5 linked regions of the Mus musculus genome follow. The protein of the gene in region 5 binds, or shares a complex with, the protein of the main gene of each other region. Links are inferred from orthologs where the notes say so. Each region holds a gene or a part of one and is shown on either strand. Other genes may lie near its edges. The genes, in order: Rgl1, Plaat3, Mapkap1, Rgl2 and Kras.

Evidence for each region.
Region 1: the proteins of Kras (region 5) and Rgl1 are in contact, whole or in part, in a crystal structure (PDB 7SCX), measured with the Homo sapiens proteins. The link is inferred for Mus musculus from reciprocal best matches to the Homo sapiens genes KRAS and RGL1. Residues at the interface, in NP_001356715.1 of Homo sapiens: Ile24, Gln25, Glu31, Asp33, Pro34, Thr35, Ile36, Glu37, Asp38, Ser39, Tyr40, Arg41, Leu56, Tyr64, Met67; in NP_001284600.1 of Homo sapiens: Ile651, Arg653, Asn660, Gly661, Asn662, Met663, Tyr664, Lys665, Ser666, Ile667, Met668, Lys685, Asn687.
Region 2: the proteins of Kras (region 5) and Plaat3 are in contact, whole or in part, in a crystal structure (PDB 7C41), measured with the Homo sapiens proteins. The link is inferred for Mus musculus from reciprocal best matches to the Homo sapiens genes KRAS and PLAAT3. Residues at the interface, in NP_001356715.1 of Homo sapiens: Ala11, Gly13, Lys16, Ser17, Tyr32, Asp33, Pro34, Thr35, Ile36, Thr58, Ala59, Gly60, Gln61, Asn85, Asn86, Lys88, Asp92, Tyr96, Lys117; in NP_001121675.1 of Homo sapiens: Leu65, Tyr66, Asp67, Val68, Ala69, Gly70, Ser71, Asp72, Lys73, Tyr74.
Region 3: the proteins of Kras (region 5) and Mapkap1 are in contact, whole or in part, in a crystal structure (PDB 7LC1), measured with the Homo sapiens proteins. The link is inferred for Mus musculus from reciprocal best matches to the Homo sapiens genes KRAS and MAPKAP1. Residues at the interface, in NP_001356715.1 of Homo sapiens: Ile21, His27, Val29, Glu31, Asp33, Pro34, Ile36, Glu37, Asp38, Ser39, Tyr40, Arg41, Leu56, Glu62, Glu63, Tyr64, Ser65, Ala66, Met67, Asp69, Gln70; in NP_001006618.1 of Homo sapiens: Phe280, His287, Gly288, Phe289, Ser290, Leu291, Ile292, Gln293, Lys307, Lys310, Arg311, Arg312, Lys313, Gly314, Ser315, Phe363, Glu365, Ile369, Val374, Met377, Leu378, Ser380, His381, Tyr484, Glu487, Ser488.
Region 4: the proteins of Kras (region 5) and Rgl2 are in contact, whole or in part, in a crystal structure (PDB 8B69), measured with the Homo sapiens proteins. The link is inferred for Mus musculus from reciprocal best matches to the Homo sapiens genes KRAS and RGL2. Residues at the interface, in NP_001356715.1 of Homo sapiens: Ile24, Gln25, His27, Val29, Glu31, Asp33, Pro34, Thr35, Ile36, Glu37, Asp38, Ser39, Tyr40, Arg41, Lys42, Tyr64; in NP_004752.1 of Homo sapiens: Ile651, Arg653, Glu660, Asp661, Gly662, Ser663, Val664, Tyr665, Lys666, Ser667, Ile668, Leu669, Lys685, Lys686, Asn688, Arg689.

The regions. Positions count from the first base shown.
Region 1 is NC_000067.6:152,555,712-152,559,224, reverse strand, and holds part of Rgl1 (ral guanine nucleotide dissociation stimulator-like 1), read left to right. Parts: intron 1-1,637; coding exon 1,638-1,822; intron 1,823-3,513. UniProt on the Homo sapiens protein: Probable guanine nucleotide exchange factor.
Region 2 is NC_000085.6:7,574,455-7,577,967, forward strand, and holds part of Plaat3 (phospholipase A and acyltransferase 3), read left to right. Parts: intron 1-482; coding exon 483-585; intron 586-3,513. UniProt on the Homo sapiens protein: Exhibits both phospholipase A1/2 and acyltransferase activities. Shows phospholipase A1 (PLA1) and A2 (PLA2) activity, catalyzing the calcium-independent release of fatty acids from the sn-1 or sn-2 position of glycerophospholipids.
Region 3 is NC_000068.7:34,622,651-34,625,467, reverse strand, and holds the end of Mapkap1 (target of rapamycin complex 2 subunit MAPKAP1), read right to left. Parts: intron 2,046-2,817; coding exon 1,920-2,045; 3' UTR 510-1,919; downstream 1-509. UniProt on the Homo sapiens protein: Component of the mechanistic target of rapamycin complex 2 (mTORC2), which transduces signals from growth factors to pathways involved in proliferation, cytoskeletal organization, lipogenesis and anabolic output.
Region 4 is NC_000083.6:33,928,666-33,932,703, forward strand, and holds the start of Rgl2 (ral guanine nucleotide dissociation stimulator-like 2), read left to right. Parts: upstream 1-1,228; 5' UTR 1,229-1,379; intron 1,380-1,579; 5' UTR 1,580-1,620; coding exon 1,621-1,776; intron 1,777-1,782; exon of another isoform or gene 1,783-2,278; intron 2,279-3,060; coding exon 3,061-3,144; intron 3,145-3,374; coding exon 3,375-3,553; intron 3,554-3,655; coding exon 3,656-3,706; intron 3,707-3,788; coding exon 3,789-4,038. UniProt on the Homo sapiens protein: Probable guanine nucleotide exchange factor. Putative effector of Ras and/or Rap. Associates with the GTP-bound form of Rap 1A and H-Ras in vitro.
Region 5 is NC_000072.6:145,247,425-145,251,535, reverse strand, and holds the start of Kras (GTPase KRas), read left to right. Parts: upstream 1-1,304; 5' UTR 1,305-1,487; intron 1,488-4,111. UniProt on the Homo sapiens protein: Ras proteins bind GDP/GTP and possess intrinsic GTPase activity. Plays an important role in the regulation of cell proliferation.

The sequences.
Region 1 (3,513 bases), on a different chromosome or scaffold from region 5:
GCTCTTGGTACTTGACCTCCAAAAGCTGAGTTAACTCTCAGTGGACTTTTGTGGCAGCCGGTCCTGATTACAGCTCAGCTCTTTGGTAGGAAAGTGCAGCTGGGAGTTAAGTCACTGTAACAGGCTGCTGGGCTTCTGCACACTGGATACTAACTTCTACTCTAGCTTTTAATTGTATGAACAATTTGTGTAGGTGTAGTAGATAATTATAATTTTCCTTTTTTTGATTCTGATTCTGTGGAACAAATCCAAAGAATACTTGTGCACATTAGACAGATGCTGTACCACCGCTATATCCCAAACCCTTTCAAAAAACATTTTTGTGGTTCTGGAGGGATCACTCAGCCTGTGAGATGCTTGCTGCACAAGATCTACAACCTGGGTTAGATTCCCCAGCACCCGTGGATTAAAAAAAAAATTGGATGTGGTGACATGTGTTTATCATCCTACTGCTGCGGAAGCAGAGCCTAGAGTATTTCTAGAGCTTGCTGACCAGCCATCCTAGCCTATCGGTGACCCCCCAGGTCCCAATGAGAGACCCATCTCAACAGACAAGGCAGATGGCTCCTAAGGAGTGGCATAGGTTACCCTCTGACCTACACACATACACTCTTTTGGGTGGGTGAAAGAGTTTTGTCACTGTAGCTAAGACAGTGTGGTTTCTTTGCCTTGGGATGCACAGGAATTTATTGATTCTCCCTGATACCTTCTCCAGCCAGCATCAGTGAACATCCCTTTCGATGGAGTTGTTTTATTAGGGAGGCAGACTAGCCTGGTGTGGAACTAACACTGAAGTGTCTTTGAAGTCTTCTGACGATGAAGCGTGGAGTAATGGCCCTGCTGCAGTTTACCCCTTTGTCATTGCTCTGACTCTGCTCTAGAGAGAGGAGCTCCCCGTAACTTACAGGCAACACCCTTAGTTACTCAGGAGGTGTCTGTAGCGCACCAAGCACCCAGAGCGTATCTGGCTGTTCTTGTGCTTTGACACCCGGGGAACCTTGTGACTCCATCACCCAGTGGTTCCTGACACGCCGTCTCATTATAATTTGAGAAACAAAGGGATAACTTTATGAGGAAAGCTTTGGTCCTTGTGCCAAAACCCTAGTGATGTTTTTAAAATTAAACAGGCATTTCCCCATTAACCTGGAGACTTCTTACTCCAGATGAGTTCTAGCCTAGTGGTAGCCAGTTATGTCCTAAGTTATCAATACGGCTACTTTTAGGCTACTTTTCTGTTTTATTACCTTTGTTCATCTATTTGTGTGGGAGTCTGAAGGGCTAGCTGAAGCATGCTACAGTGCAGGCTGTCAGAGGACAACTTGTTAACATTGTGTGGGACCCAGGCATCACTGAGCTCAGTTGTCAGGCGTGGTAGAAAGTTTCTTATTTACTGTGTCATCTTGATAGCCTGGTTTTCTGGTCTTTAATTTGAGCAAATGCACAGTTAGTGGCTTGTGTTTGGATTGTTTGGAACTCAGTAAATCCTCTTCTCATCTTTCGTCTGCCTTGGTTGGATTTTCTAACAACAAAACATTATTAGTCTCCCCAACCCTCTTCAGCTACCAGCTGTGGGGTCCAGGGCCTGTCTCGAGTCCCGTAAGCATTGTGTTCACTGTGTCTCCATCTCTCCTTCCCAGTGCCATTGCTTCCATCCTGAGGGCCTGGCTTGACCAGTGTGCGGAAGACTTCCGGGAGCCCCCTCACTTCCCTTGCCTTCAGAAGCTGCTGGAGTACCTCAAACAGATGATGCCTGGCTCTGACCCAGAGAGGAGAGCACAGAACCTTCTTGAACAGTTTCAAAAGCAGGACGTGGATTCCGACAGTGAGTACCTGTTTGGTCCCAGGGAAACCTCTACTGGGCTCTGCAATGTGGGGGCTCCCCATTCATTGACTCAATAAGAAACCCTGGTACCCTCAGAAAATTGGGATAGGTATAAAATTATTGAACTGTGAACCTCAGAACCCTAAGGTTTCAGAGTGAAAAGAGGGATTTTCAAGGCTGGATTTATGATTTTAAAGATTAAATTGTAAAACCAGCTCAGAGAAGCTAAGTAATTGCCCAGGGTGCCTACTGTTACCAGGAACAGGGTTTTCTTGATTTGTTTTTGTTTTTTTTAAACTTTCTCTTATCAACATGAATGGGCTTCTTCTCTGCCTAATGTGTTCTATCAGATATAAACGGGCGACAACCAACCAACCCTGTGTGGCTGGCAAGGGTTCAAGTCCACGTCCCTCTCACAAAAGCTTGGAAGAGGTGTTCCTCCTTTTCCCTAAAAAGCATTAGTGTCATGTCCCCTGGCAGCCCCGATTGCTGACATCGACTGTCTCTAGTGACCGAATCGAAGGAAGTCTCTGAGGCTGTTTTTTCCTATTGGAGGCTGACCTCGAGCTTCCAGGGACAAATGCAGAGCCACCACTGCTGGCCATAGAGTGTGCTGGCTGCCAGGCTCTGCAGAAATTAGTCAAGAGGTTCCATCGCGCTCCAGCGTGATGATATAGCCTTTCACCGAGGCACTGGGTAACAGTTGCCATGGCAGCTGACCCACTTGGAACTTCTGGTAGGCATTTCCTTGAAGTAATGTCCGGTTTCCTCAGTGAGGGAAAGGAAATGGCTCCTAACGCAGATAAGGGATGCTACCCCAAAGCCAAAGCAAATACAGTGACTTTAAATTCTACCCGGTACCTGTTGAGTGGTTTGTATGGACTGGGGACCAGAGAAGGGGAATGCACTTGCATCATTTGGCTCAGATTGCCAAAGGCTTTGTATCTCAGATGACTTCATCTGCCGGGAATGCTTGAATACCCTGGAAGCTCAGCTCCAGCTGCCAGACCTCAGCTCCCTTCAGGGCCTCCTCCCGCCTGCCCGCCCAGCTTTGTGCTCTGGTAGAAAACGCTGCTGCTGCTGCTGCTGTTGCACTGGAGCCCAGCTCGCCCCACTGGGGCTGCCTCTGGCCCCATGCCTAATTGGGGAACCAGTGGGACCAGTCATTGGTCCTCTCCGGCTCAGGGAATGGAGGGCAGAGCTCTTTTGGCAGGCAGAGGCAGGGACTAGGGAGGTGGCCTGACCTCACAAAAACTTTTAGGCAATACCCAAGAATGAATCTTTTCCTAAGTGTGGGCAGTTGTCATCAAGAATGCTCCAGGCCCTGTTTATGAAGTATAGGCTCCATTCCTGAAGAGGAATGTTGGGAGCTTAGTTAGTTCCCTTGTGCCTCTCACCCCCCAGCCCCCATGTCATACTCTGGAAAGCAGTGAGCTTTCCTGTGTGTTTGCAAAAGTAAAACTGTGCATAGAGATTTGTACATAACCCCTGGAGACTCAGGCAGGAGCAGTGAAAGCATAGACCAGGTCCCAGAGAGAAAGGATCACAGGTTTCACACGTAGTGACATTCTAGGTGCATGCCAGATTTACAAGGAATGAATGAATGAATGAATGAATGAATGTGTGAGTGAGTGATGTTAGTCCTTACCCTGTACTCTCCTTGGCAGAAGCTGGACAGCTTCTGCATTGTT
Region 2 (3,513 bases), on a different chromosome or scaffold from region 5:
TCATGCATTTTACAGGTTTCTTTTTTAGATTATTTCATGTGCACTAGTGTTTTGCATGTATGTATGTGTACTATCTTCATGTATTACCTGTGGAGATTAGGAGAGGGCATTGGATGCCCTGGAACTGGAGTTATAGATGGTTGTAAGCAACCATTGGGTGCTGGGAACCTAACCTGGATCCTCTGCAAGAGCAGTAAGCACTCTTAACTGCTGAGGTGTCTCTTCAGCCCTGTTTGCAGTTTTTAGTCATAGTACGTGCAGGGGTTGGGGTGAAGTTGGGGATGGGGTGGTAGCATGTTCCCTGAAGGCCTGCATCTCAGCTTTGTGAGGTGAGCCAGCATCAGACCTGCAGAGCCTGCATCCACATGGATCTGCCTACTGGAGCTGATTTGGGGGAACTTTTGGCTGCATCTTCTTAACCCAGCCTGTCCTGGTGTCAAGGATTCACACCATCACTAATAGTTCTGTTCTTGGTTTTGCAGCCAGAACCCAAGCCTGGAGACCTGATTGAGATTTTCCGCCCTATGTACAGACACTGGGCCATCTATGTTGGTGATGGATACGTGATCCACCTGGCTCCTCCAAGTAAGAACACCAGGGCATTCACTGTTCTGGGTCCAGGGACTGGGAAAGGATGTGGGGAGCTGTGGGCAACCGGGTGCCCCTATGCTGTCCATGCTTCTCCGTCAACCACTTGTTTCTAAGTTTATGTGCAGGCAGTCTGATGTGTCATGATGCTTTCTGGCTTTGTTCCTTGGAGCCCAGTGTGTAAGCCCCTCAAGGTGTGTGAGTGTCCAGACCCTGCCCCTAAGGACCTTCAACTTCCAGGCTCCACACAGAGAACAATCTAATGGCTGGATCCAGCCCCTCTAGATGCAGATGGCCAAGCTCTGCCTCACAGAGTAAAAAGCCCGAGCTCAGAACTTGAAATCCTACTAATCCCCACCCTGGAAATCATAAAGCCTGCCTTTCCCTCAGTTTCCTGATGCTTCTGGTCTGAGATTTTCCCTCTCAACAAAGCTCTTGTGTGAGGTAGGTTTGTTGTGCAGTGTGACTTTGTAGTATTCCTTGGCTCCCAACTGCCAGGGTATCATTCCCAGCAGAGGTGTAACACTTGCTGGGGAACCTTTCCCCACTGGAACAGAGCTGTTCCATTGTCTTGCTCCCCACTGGGGTCTGAGCCGTACTGGGATCCTATTCCTCATCTCCAGTCAACACACAACAGACTCACCTCCCAGCTCACCAATCACTCAGCACCCCATCCACCAGCAACAACTAGGTGAGTCTCCTCTTTGGCCACTGCAAATGTTTTCCTGAGTCCAAGGAAGTGATCAGCACCTCGTTGGTACTCTTGGAGGTGAAGGTACCCCAGAAACAGAGGTCTTCAAGGCTACGGCTGGCCCTCTTCTCCTGACCCCATTCCTCCATCCTTGGACATTTCCAGCCACAGTCCACCCTAATCAAATCTTCCTGTCACTCACTTTGAGCCCATTAGCAGCCCTTAGTCCTCCTAGAACTCATTCCTCAACTACAGGACTCGCTTCTACCTCCCCCTACCTGGCCTAACCTGGTCCCAGTTCTCCCTTTCCAGGAGGTTGGTTGCTGGGGTGGATGGCATGATCAGGGTATGTGTCCCTTTCTTACTAAGTGATCTCTCTCAGATAGAAGAGATGTTGGGGTTTCACATCACAAATTCCCCTGCTTTCATTAAAAAGTTCCAATGTATCACCTAGTCTTAGTCTCACCTTCCACGACATTTATACAGTTCTCACCAGCAGCCTTCTCTGTGCAGAGTGCAGAGGAGTCTGAGTCCAAGCTGGGGCACTTGCAGATGAAATCTACCAAACTAATAAATGTCTGCTCTTGAATCTCCTGTTTCTTCTCTCTTCTCTTGCATCATTCTCTCTCCCTGGAAGTTCTACCCTCCACTTCCTGCCCAGTGATTGGCTGTCAGATCTTTGTTACAACCAATCAGCAGTGAGATGATCTCTAATACAATTCTAGATTGCCCCTAGGCATAGAGGACTGTCTGACCTTCAAGTGTCTGAGCAAGTGTGGAAGGACAAATATTTAGAAAATATAAGGCTGATGATGAGACATAGGAAGGCAAGGCCATAACACTTGCATTGGGGAGATCTTCCCCTTGCCAGAGCAGAGCTGTAACTCTTTCATTGGGGAAGCCTTCTCCCTCAGAATTGTAACACTATATTTATGTTCTTTCTCTCTCTCTCTCTCTCTCTCTCTCTCTCTCTCTCTCTCTCTCTCTCTCTCTCTCTCTCTTGTTCCTTCTTCCCTCCCCCCCCCTCTTTTTTAGTTAACCAGGGTCCTCTGTGTGACCCTAGGTTTGGAACTATCTGATGGAACCTGGTGGGCTCGTCCGTAGGTACACAACAGAAGACAATGACTGTCTTGCCCCTAGAATCCATCCCTAGACAATAATTCAGGAGGAAGGGGTAGAGACTTGTGAGTCCCTCCCCAATCCAAGAGTGACTGTGATAGACCAAGTCTTATGTCTTAAACATAGCTGTTTTCAATTTTCATATTTTTAAGACAGGGTCTCATGACTGGGTGGGTGTAGTGGTGCACTCCTCTTATACCAGTACTCAGGAGGGGAGGAAGAGACAAGCAGATCTCTGTGCTGTGAGTTCAAATCCTAGTCTACCTAGAGTGTCCTAGGACAGGCAGGGCTACATAGATCTTGTCTCAAAACAAAACAGAACAAAAGACTAGGTCTCACTATATCATTCCAGATGGTCTAGAACTCATGTTAATCCCACTGAATGAGAGTAAAGACCATTACCCAAAATATTTTGGTCAAATAAAGCAAGCTTTATTTTCTGTCAGATAGGGCTATCTCCATAAAGTGGGGAGAAAGTATCAAAATATCATGGAGCACAAGAGAAGGTGGGGTTTATACAGCCACAAACTGCAGTGCTGGGCAGGTTTCAAGGGTTGGGAGATTCTGAGGCATTTTGGTTACATAGGAACTTGGTTGACCATTTCAACATTATGCGGCAGAACATCCTATAATATCATGGTAGAGGTCAGAGTAGAGGGTGTGGAACATGTTCAACTCCAGAAAATGGGTCAAAACCTGGTCAAATCCAGGTTTTGCAGAACACAGAAATGAACTTAATTTTGACCTTGTAATAAGATGGCTTTTAATCTTATAATGGAGTCAGGCTGGTCCATCACTTATGTATATACCAGGGTGGCCTTGAACTCACAAAGATTTGTCTGCCTGTCTCATGAATTCTGGGGTCAAGGGACTAAACCACTATGCTGGGTTCAAACATTTTATGTTTTCGAAGAGTTCAGCCTATTCTAAAACTTCAAAGAAGAGGGGTCACATAGCCTCTGTTCTTTTCCTTCCGGCTATTGTTTGTTGCTGTGTCAATGTTATATTTAAAGACTGGTCCTGTCCTGGTTACTGGGGTGCTGTTGCTGCTCCTGGCAGGGGACCAATCTGGTGATGCTCCCTGGGTTCCTGGGTCTACCTCTTGGGTTCATAGC
Region 3 (2,817 bases), on a different chromosome or scaffold from region 5:
ATAGGGACACCATGGGGCTTGACAGCACTGTAGCCAGAGGTGCTGGCTGAGGCTCAGAGATTAGGCTAGACAGTACTGACACCCCTGAGATCAGATGTCCTAGGGAAGCGTCTTCATGGCAAATGCAACCAACCAGCAGGCTGGCTCACCACTGCCCAAGGAGTGAGGGCCACCGCCGCCCACCTATCACAGCCGTGGACTGTGACACCAGGCAACTCAAACCCCTGAGAACCTAACCAGCTGAGAGCCATGTGCCAGCAACTGTGGAGAGCAGAGCCAGAGATCCCAGCGTCCCGGGAGTAAAGGACGACTAGACGTGGCTTGTGTACAGCTTAGCATGGCTGGGCATTTTCAAGTGCCAGGGTGTCACCCCAGGGATCTGCTATGACATCACCATATCAGCAGTGTGTGCTGCATTATCAAATGCCAGGGTGTCACCCCCGGGGACTTGCTGTGACATCACCATCTCAGCACCGTGTGTGCAAGGATTTAGGAATTCAAAGCAATATACAAAAGAGGGTATTTATGACTTTTATTTTAGTATTTTAATATTGAATATGTGACAAGATTTAATGACCAAATTAGTCATTTACAATTTCAAAGATATCTAAATATAAAATTGCTAAAAATTCAAATACAGAGCAAGCTACAAATAATATTTCTTTTGGGGGGAGATAGGAATGGAAGACATTAGAAAAGGGTGCTCCTGTTGGCTGAACAGATCAGAATGAGAGAGGCATTCATTCAGTCGACCCCTTTGCAAAGAAGCACACTTGACTCTGAGATGCTTAGACACAATGATTTAAAAAATGTCCTAAACACAGGTCGTATAAGATATCGGCTGTGGCCCTGGCCCAAGGATGCTGCCACAGGCGGGACCATGGTGAGGTCTGCAGAGGCATCTGGTGTAGACAGAGGTGTGGTGTGGTGTCAGGGTGCTGGGTACCTTGCCTTTTCTGCCCAGGGCTTGCTCTCCTTCTCCCTGATTCAGTATAGCAGCAGCAGCAGCAGCAGCAGCAGCAGCAGCAGCAGCAGCAGCAGCAGCAGCAGCAGCAGCAGCAGCAGCAGCAGCGTCTGGCTCCACAGCAGGCACCGGTAAGAGGATTGGAGATAGGTCAGAGAGGCAGGCTGACCATATCATACTTGCTATGAGGAGATGAGAGAAGACCCTGGCTGGGAACTCAGCACCACTTGGAGACACTGTCACACTATATTACCAGCACCTGTCTCTCAGATCACAGGCGCTGACATGTTGAGAAGGCCTTAGAAGGCTACGCACGCACGCACGCACGCACGCACGCACCCACGCATGCACTTACGCTGGGCACATGCTAGGTCCTCAATTCCTAACTTTAGTAAGATGCTATTCTCAAAGCAAATCACTTATTTAAACAAATGGCACAGTTAAACTACTGGCTAAGCCCTAAACATTGCTTCTGAGAGCTCCAACCACAGCTTTTGTAATCTGCCTGTTCAATATGGGAACAGATTTTAAGGAAGATAATATAGTCAATCCTCTACCCCAAAGAATGGTCCATCATACCAACCACGATAAAGAGTATACCTGTTTATTAAAAGGAAAGAAAGAGAAATGTACACTTTTGTTCTTTGTTTGCTTTAAGAAATTTGATCAAGTTGCAAGGAGATGTCTGGCATGGCTATGTACAGTCTTGCTGGGACTGCCAGGCAGGACACACGGCTGAGCAGCACTCAGCCCCTCCAGGAGGTGGCCTGGCTCCTGGGCATTGCTACTTAGAACCATTGCCAAGTTTCAGTCCAATCGCACCCCTACCTCTAAACCTTCCCCTAGAGCCCAGCAGCCTGTGCCTGCGGGTCTCGGCACTACAGGATGCTGGTGGACTCCGGTCCACCTGGCCTTGCAGGCCACCTGGGCTGTGGCACCAGACTAGAGGCCAGTGTCACTGCTGCCCTGATTTCTTCTCCTTCTGGAAGCTGAAGCTTGTTCGCCTGTTCAGTTTTCTTTGTTTTTGAGCAAGATAATCAGCTCGGGCAGTGCTCGCTCGTGATTCCAGGATGTAGTTAACCTAGAAAGCAAGAGGACACGGCATCACTTGGCAGCACCAGCTGTTCCCCCAGGGCAGAGCTTGGGGTGGAAGGGAGGCCATGTTTGGGCAAGGGATCCTGGGAGCAGCTGCTCTGACACGGTGCAGTCTGGCAGGCCAGGAGGAAGCCCTCGGTTCATATAGATGGAGGCCCAGTGCAGGCTTCTCAGTTGCTGAGCAGTGGGGCTGCTGACCCACCCCTAGGCTTGTGCTCTTCGGTGTCTCAGAGGGCTGCCTACTCTCAGACATGTCCAGCCAGCTCCCGAGGAAAACACGCGAGGCAGCACATCCTCTGCCTCCTGATAGCCTGGCATGTGTCCTCTATTGTCCGCTGCACCTACCAGCCAGGACCAAGTACGCAAAGTGAGGCTCAGAGGACTGCAAGGGCTGAGGCCACTGGGGTCAGGGTTGACTTCAGTTGGCTGTGTGTGTCTTTTCTGGGCCACCTGTGGACCTTCAGACATGGCTTTCCTGCCTGGCTTTTTGTGAAAACACAATTCTTTCACTCTCACACGTTCCGAAGCCTCACCAGAAAGCCCAGCCTTGGTTTGGAGAAGGCAGCTAGAGGCTCTTGAGCAGGGCAGTTGCAGACTGAGGCTCTGACAATGTCCCTCCAAACTTTCAACAGTAGGAGGTACAGGCAGGCATGCGGATACAGAAGGCCCGCCTCACCCGGCCGCAGCCTTGCCAACTTACCAGCTGAGAGTCATAAATCAGGATGTAGGTTGGCAAGGGTGCTTTGGGCCGGCGTGGA
Region 4 (4,038 bases), on a different chromosome or scaffold from region 5:
TCATTTGATGCCCACAGTCGGGAGGCAGAGGCAGTGGATCTCTGACATTTCCATGCCAGCCTGATCTACAAATAGGGAGTTTCAGGTCAGTCGGGGTTACTTGGCGGGGCTTTGTTGAGAGAACTAAATATAAGAACACACATGCGTAGAGTCCCAGGGTTGAGAAGAACCAGTGTATGCGCCAGAGAGGCGGGTTCATAACCTGTGGCTCACAACCCCCTTTAAGTCCATCGGAAATACCAGACATTAGGATTCACAACAGTAGTAAAGGCAGTTACGAAGTAGCAAAGAAAATAATTTTACAACTTGAACTGCGTTAATGTTAAGAAGGTTGAGAACCACTGGCCAGGGGATTAGGACGAAAGGTCTTCATAGCATCTTAAGATTCTAGAGACCTCAGGGACAGCCCACAGCAGTAGTCTAGAGACGGAAAGGTCCATGTGTCTCCCTCGCGGACTAAAGCCTACCTCTCCAGCTCTCCATTCCTACCACAGCTTTTCTTTTGCCTGGTCCACCTTTACCATCTCCGGGCCTGGTGGGTCTCGGCCCTTTACGAATGTCCCCGTGTGGTTCGTCCTCTCCTGTTCGCCGGTCCTCGTGAGCTAATAAAGTCTTTCCGAGTTTCCATGCGGGCCTCTCATTCTCCCGTTTCCAAGCACAGCCAACCTCGGTCACCTCCCGGTCCTCGTCTCGCACCCGGGAGACGACATAGCCACCGTGGGAACCGCGCGCGCTCGGGCGCACGGTGAGAGCCGGACGCCCGGAGCGACGGACCCGAGTGGAACCGGAAGCGCCGCACTAGCCGGCTTCCGCCCCCTCCCCGCGAGTGGGCGGGCATAAGGGCGGCACAGAAAACCCGGCGCGGATTCGCTCCGTTGCACTCGTGCCGGGGCGGCAGTGTCATTCTCGAGCTGCAGTAACGGGGTCGCGCCACTGCTAGGGCACTTTCCTCGGCAGTTGCAGCGCCGCTCTGGTTAGAAAAAGTGACTTAAAATTCCGTGTTTGCCTTCCTGTGGAGGCTTGAGACAGGACCCTGGTCTCCAGCGTGTCTGCTGCGAGACGCGGGCTTCAGAGCCACCGAGTGGGGCTGCAAGGGACAGCGGAGTAGTGCACCTGCAGCCTGCGTCCCAGCCCCTGGCGTCCAGCACTCCCCTAGTCGCTCTCCCTGGCTCCTGTCCTCACTTCCTTCCCTTTTTGGCTCCTGCTGTCGGGCGGACGCGGGGAGGGGGGAAGCGGAAAGGGCGGGAGGGCCCGGGAGCCCGGCGGGGTGCAGGAGGGGGGCATCGCGGAAAAGCCGGGGAGGGGACTCGGTAGAGGGCCAGAGACCGACAAGAACAGAGGCCCGGGACCCGCGCGCAGCCCTCGCCCTTCCCGAGCAGGTCAGAGCCGGAGCACCGGGTGACCCTGCCCATTCCGCACTAGTTAGCCCCCAAGTCCCAAGCAAGCACCGAGGGCTTGGGTTTCCCCACTCCCGTATCTCCCTCCCCCAGCCTTCCTCAGGGACTCCCACCTAGGTCCCTTCTTGTCCGTCTCCCCCACGCCCGTCTGACTCCACCCAATCCCACCCGTCTCTCCCCAGGCGCCCCCATGGCCCGACCCCGCTGATTGCTTCTCTCGGCCATGCTCCCGCGGCCCCTGCGGCTGCTTTTGGACACGACCCCCCCCGGGGGAGTCGTGCTGAGCAGCTTCCGGAGCCGGGACCCCGAAGAGGGTGGGGACCCAGGTGGCCGGGCCGTGGGCGGGGGGCAGGAGGAAGAGGATGAGGAAGAAGAAGAGGTGAGACGCGGGTGGCGGGAGGCAGGGCATTAAATATTTCTGAGACTCTCCTCCTTTCGGTGTCTCTGGGTCCCTCGGTCTCTTCCTCCCCGCCTCACTCGCATCCCGCCCGCCACACTCTCTCTGGATATCTGTCCCCTGGCTGCGGGTCCTGGTGTCTATGAAGTTCGCCCTGTCTGTCTGCTCGGAACCTGCCCGTAGGAACCTGCCGGAACCAGAATGGCTGGCTGGCAGACGGGCTGACTGTGCCTGCGGGGCTCAGGCCCTCTTTGCCCATACCTGCTTAGACGGGTGCCACTGGGCAGTTGTATCTTGGTCCCTGTCTCCCTCCTCGTTTTTTGTTTGGCTGGGAGGGGTTTGTTTCCACAGTAACCAGCTCCTCAGACTCTAGGATTGGGGAGGGAACCCTCAGATTTCGCCGCCTCTTCCCCCACCCCCTGGTGCTCAATAGAGGGCAGCAAGCCAAGAGGTTCCGGCACCTGGAGAGATGATCCCGGGATAGGTAGAGCGTGGTCATCTTCGTCCAAAGAGACTGATAGGATGTAGTCCGCAGCAAGATTTAGGGATTCAGGAGGGTCCAGAAGTTAGATTCGGAGCCCGAGGATCCAGACTCCTGGGCCCCGACATTGGTAAAGTTAGGGTGACTAGCAAGGCTGGTTTTTCGGGATCGGTCGGGGGAGGGGCTAGGGCCACATGACTCTGAGTCTACCGCCCCCCCCCCCCATCATCCTTACTTCCCCTTCTTGTAACTGGGATTGGAGCCGCCACCTTCAGGGGGTCCCCAGTGCTGAGATTAAGTGGAAGCTGTATTGGGGACCTGGGGAAAAGGAGTCTCTGCGGAAGGACTAAATTTGGGCTCCTCTGGTTCTGTCAGGGAGGGCGGGCCTTGTGAAGTTTCAGCTTCTCTCTGCTTCAGGTCTCTCTTCCTTTGGCTTTGTGCCTCTTCGGGCGCGCTCTGCTCCTGACTTTGCGCCCTGCTTTTCTGCGTTGGGCTCAGCTGTGGGACAAGGGGGGTTGGAGGTGGCCAGAAGAGGGGTTCCTGCATTCAGTTGAAACCCTCACTGCAACCTCTTCCATCCCACCGAGCTCTGAGGTGGCCGGGGGGGCTGTCTGAGCCCCAGGGTGGGGTAGACCTGGGGTCACCAGTACCCTCTACCCCTCGCACTCGCTGGTATTGTCCCCCGCCATCACAGGTGAGGGGTGCAGAGGGAGGAACAGGGCCTGGGGACAATGGCTGGGGACTGGAGGTGCTGTGGAACTCACTTCCTCTTCTTGCTCCTCCAGGCTTCTGTGTCAGTCTGGGACGAGGAGGAGGATGGTGCGACCTTTACTGTCACAAGCCGCCAGTACAGGCCTCTTGACCCCTTGGTGAGATCACGACTTTGAGGTCTTGCCTCTCGGTTTTTAATTTAATATTTATTTATTTATTTTCCGGAACATTAGGTTGAAGAAGTTCTGGTAGTGTGAAGGTAGTTCTGTGTTGTGTGATTTAAGCCATTTCTGAACCGGGGCAGAAATAAGCTAGATCTGGATTATCCCAGATGTCTAGCAGTCAGATTGAGGAGGCCCGTCGGTGAGACACCCTCCATGTTCTCCAGGCTCCCTTGCCTCCACCTCGCTCCTCCCGACGGCTCCGCGCTGGCACTCTGGAGGCCCTGGTCAGACACCTCTTGGATGCCAGGACAGCAGGGGCTGACATGATGTTCACTCCGGCCTTGCTGGCCACCCACCGGGCCTTCACCTCCACTCCTGCCCTGTTTGGGCTTGTGGCTGACAGGTCAGGGGCCAAGGGTTAGGAGGCTCCTGGATTCCCTTTGAGCACCCCCAGCACCAGCGGGGGCTGGAAAAGCCACAAGGTAGACCCTCTCCTCATCCCCAGGCTGGAAGCCCTTGAATCTCATCCTCCCGGTGAGCTAGAGAGGACCACAGGGTGAGTGGCCCTGTCTGAACCTCAGTCCCCTCAGGGTGCTGAGGCTAGACCTCTGACCCCTGGCTGATTCCCCTTCTCTCAGGGTAGCCATCTCTGTACTTTCAACTTGGCTGGCCTCTCACCCTGAGGATTTTGGCTCTGAGGTCAAGGGTCAACTTGACCGGCTTGAGAGCTTCTTGCTTCGGACAGGGTATGCAGCACGGGAGGGTGTTGTGGGGGGCAGTGCTGACCTCATCCGAAACCTCCGGGCCCGGGTGGACCCCCGGGCCCCCGACCTTCCTAAGCCCCTGGCCCTTCCTGGCGATTCCCCTGCTGACCCCACGGATGTCCTG
Region 5 (4,111 bases):
ACATTTAAACAAGGCTTAAAGCCTATGATATAGGAAGCTCTGGGCATTGGTAGTTAGGAGACAGTTTTTGAGGACAGTCTCAGAGGAAAAGGCCAACCTCCCCATTCTCGGAGCAGCCAGGAGTCAAGGTGAAACACGAAGGTAAGGTAAGGTAGCAAGTGGTCAAAGGCAGCATAGAATTTTAGAATTTTGCCTTTATGTTCTTGAACTGTGAGCCACGCGGGAGCTCAAGGCAGACTGAGATACTGAGTTAGTATCTTTCCTTCAGCTTAACAGTGTGAATGTGGCCGCCATTTCTTCCTTTCCGTAAATTTCTTCCTTCATCTGTAAAATAGTCGAGATGATGTTTAACTCGCGGGGGCGTTGTGATAATTAAATACGCTATGTGCAAAAACATTTAGCAGTTAACTTGACACAGAGTAGGCACGTTCTTTCTTTCCCTGTCTTCCTCCTGTTTCCCGGGCCTCCCACCTGGTGCTGGGAGGGAGAGGTAGGGTGCAAGAAGAGTGACATCACTTCAGAGAGCTAGTGTAACAGTTTCACGCGTGGCTGGTGATGGGGCTGTGAGGACAGACGGCGGTCGGTGGGTGGGTGGATGGGCAGTCTTTTGGGCGGGGGCCCTGGCTCTCCAGGCCTCAACTGATGGCATTTTTTAGAAGGGGCATCAGTGCGGTCTAGAGGAACGCACGCTTATTTGCCTCCCTGTTTAACTCTGCGGTGGTAACTGATGAATGAATGTCTTCTACCTGGCGTCCTGAGAAGTCTCCTCGGATCTGTCCTGTGGAGCGAGGGCACTTCCTACAAAGCGGCTCTCCATGTGGTATCCGGGCAGAAGGCCAGCCTGGTCTACACAGAGAGACCCTGTCTCAAAACAAAAAGAGGAGGTCCGGGTTGGGAGCCTGCAGGCTTCGGACAGTCCGGCCAAGGGACCGCGAGGCCAGCGGCTGGGGTCCGCCCCCGGCGGCGCCGCGCGCGCCCGGAGGAGCAGCAGCGGGGCGGGCGGCCGCGTGCGAACGAGCGGCGAGGCGGGGCTATCGGGAGCGCCAGCCCCGGGTCGGGGTCCGCGTTGGCCGACGCCCTCTCGGCACCACCCTCGCGCGCCCCCGCCCGGGCCCGTCCTGGCCGCCGCTTCCCGCCCTCGCTCTCCTGGGCTCCCAGCGCTGCGGCCGCTCCCTCCCTCCCTCCTTCCCTCCCTCCCGCGCGCGCGGCCGAGGCAGCGCGGAGCACCGAGCGCATCGATCGGCCTGCTCTGCGGCCGCCCGCCCGCCTGCCGGGCCCATCGCGCACTCCGGGCTCGATTCGGCAGGCGGCGGCCGCGGCGGCTGAGGCGGCAGCGCTGTGGCGGCGGCTGAGACGGCAGGGGAAGGCGGCGGCGGCTCGGCCCGGAGTCCCGCTCCCGCGCCATTTCGGACCCGGAGCGAGCGCGGCGCGGGCCTGAAGGCGGCGGCGGGAGCCTGAGGCGCGGCGGCTCCGCGGCGCGGAGAGAGGTAGGGCGCGGGCGGCGCTCCTGGGCCGCTGCCCGGTGCGGAGCTCGGCGCGGCCGGGCGGGGCCGCGGCGCTGAATGAAGCCGGCTCGGGGCGGCGGGCGCGGGGCGCCGAGGTCGGGCGGCCGCCGTTTCCCGGACGGGGCGGCTTTCCTTCCTCCTCCCGGCCGCGGCGGGCCCTCCGCGCTCGCCCGGCCTCCGCGCCCGGCCTCTGCTGCACCCGGCATCCGCGCCTGGCGCCCCGCGCCCGGCTCAACTTGTCGGGCGCGCGGGCTGTGCGGGGACGCCGCTTCCCCTGGCCGGGCTGCGGGGCCCCGGGGGAGGTCGCGGCGGGAGGTGCTCGGACCCGGTGGCCGGAGGGCGTCGTGGTTCTCGGAGGGGAAAGGCGTCCGCCGCGGAGTTCGCGACCGCTCCCCTCCCCCACGCCTGTAAGGGCTGTGACATTGCCGCGGCCACAAAGGAGGAGGTGGAGGTAGGGATGGTGCTGGCAGAACAGGTGGCCCACGCCCTGCGCGGAAAGCCCGCGAGCGACCCGCACGGAAGCAGAAAAGTTAATGCGGCAAGTCTGAGTGGCTTTGTGTCGTGAAAACACAGGGGGAACGAAGGGCGAGAGCCGAGGCAGGGGACTCTCCCCGAGTGGAGCGCAGGCAGCTCGGCTCACAGCGTCAAGTTTGAATCGCCTGCTGCCCTCTCCCCTCAGTCCTGCGGTTTGTCCCTTGCCCCTTCCAGACTCCAGAGTTGATTGTAGCATTCGGGCCGACCTCTGAAATCCCCCTAGGCCCATGTAGTAGCTCAAGTCCTGAGCCAGCCCCGTTAAAGCAAGGTGATCATCAAGGCAAGGACTTAAAAGCAGAATGGCATGCTGTGTTTGTCGTAGAGGAATCATCTGAGAGGAAATGTTGAACAAGTCTGCTCATAATAATCACTTCGAAATTGCCACCAAATGACCAGTGTCACTCTTCCACCGAGGGCCTGATTGCTGACCCCTCATGTGATAGACAATAGACATCAGATACGCTAGGTATCCATATATTTAATTTGAAACTGTAGCTATTCACAAGCATCCTTGGTTTTAAGAGATGGCGGATAGTAATTTAATTTTTCCACTTTGGTTGGAATTGAGCCCCTTTATTACCTTTTGTAACTGGGGGTGGGGGTGGGTGGGTGGGGGAACCTTTCAGGCTTAAGGTTTTTCTTGAGTAAGACTTCTTTTTTTTCTAGTGGACTTAATTAAATATTACTAAGTTTTAAAAACCCGACAATAAATTTTATTCAGCAAAAGCTACGGTGTAAATGATTCAATATCTGTCCACAGTATACCCTAAATTAGCCAACATTTTAGTCTGTGGGACCCCTTTGCACCTATAAACAAATTATTGAGGGTCTCAGAAATCCTTGAAGGGGGGGAACATGCCAATATTTACTATATTAGAAGTAACACATTTTTTCAGTTTATTTAGAACTAGGAATAAAGTGCCTGTTGGTAACATGAATTCATTTTTTAATGAAAAAATAATAAATTTTCTAGAACAAAGAATTAGAGTAGCTTTGTTTTACACATTAACAATCTGTTTAATTGTGCTTCATAGGACATAACAGTATTCTTTCATATCTACATCTCATATCTGCATCTGCATTCTCTTTGTTGTGATTACAGGGCCTAGAGAACCAACTGTCCTTGTAATAGTAAGAAGGCTAAAAAACAATTGCTGTAAAAACGGTTCTAACCTCCTAATCCTGTTCCCTACCACACAAAGTTTTAGGGACCCAAAATTGCTCCTGTACGCTAGCCACACTGTTTGCGGGAGGGAGAGGCAAAGGTCGCATTTCCATGTGATTTCTTTTCATCTATCCCATTTGCCATGGTCTACATTTGTTACAAAACTTGAAGGCAAACAGGTAAGTTAGGTTAGTAGTGGCTCACAGGATGGCCCCAGACAAGCAGCCAGAAAGGATAGGTGGGGCAAAGTAGGGCAGGAGTTGGATGAAGGTCTGATAACAATGGTTTTCTGCCCTTGTGGTCCTGTTACTGAGGGCTTCAGGCACAGGGTAAGGAAGACAGTGTGTTGGAAAAACAAACTGCATTTTCCCCTCTTGGTGCCTGTGTGAACAGTTCTTGGTGGTCAATAAGTAGACTGTATTTTGTGTTTGTTTACACTGTATATACTTACATTGACCTGGAACTATCTATTCTATAACAAAATTGTGACTTTAGTGCAGTTCTTTTGTATCCATTTGTCTCTTTATCTGCAATAATATATGTTCTACAAGGGAAAGGAGATAAAGTGTATATATTAATTTTATTTCAAAAATGTTTGGAAAAGCAGACTAGGAAACAACAGTGTTGTATTCAGGGCTGTTAACTGTATACAGTGCCAGCACTTAGTGCACCTGTTGGGAGTGCAGTGTATTATAAGCAAGGCAGAAGTCACAGAGGTTACTGAGAAACTCTTTTATGTTCTTTACATTTTTTTTCTTGCCAAAAATAGTCTTTATCTCTGAATTTCATTCAATTTTATTTCCTTGTACAGAGGTACTGTTTTTAGTACTCAAAGGATTATATGTTAAAATTGATCTGATCCTATACCAAATATTTAAACCCATTTCCCACAGATAGTTTATAGATT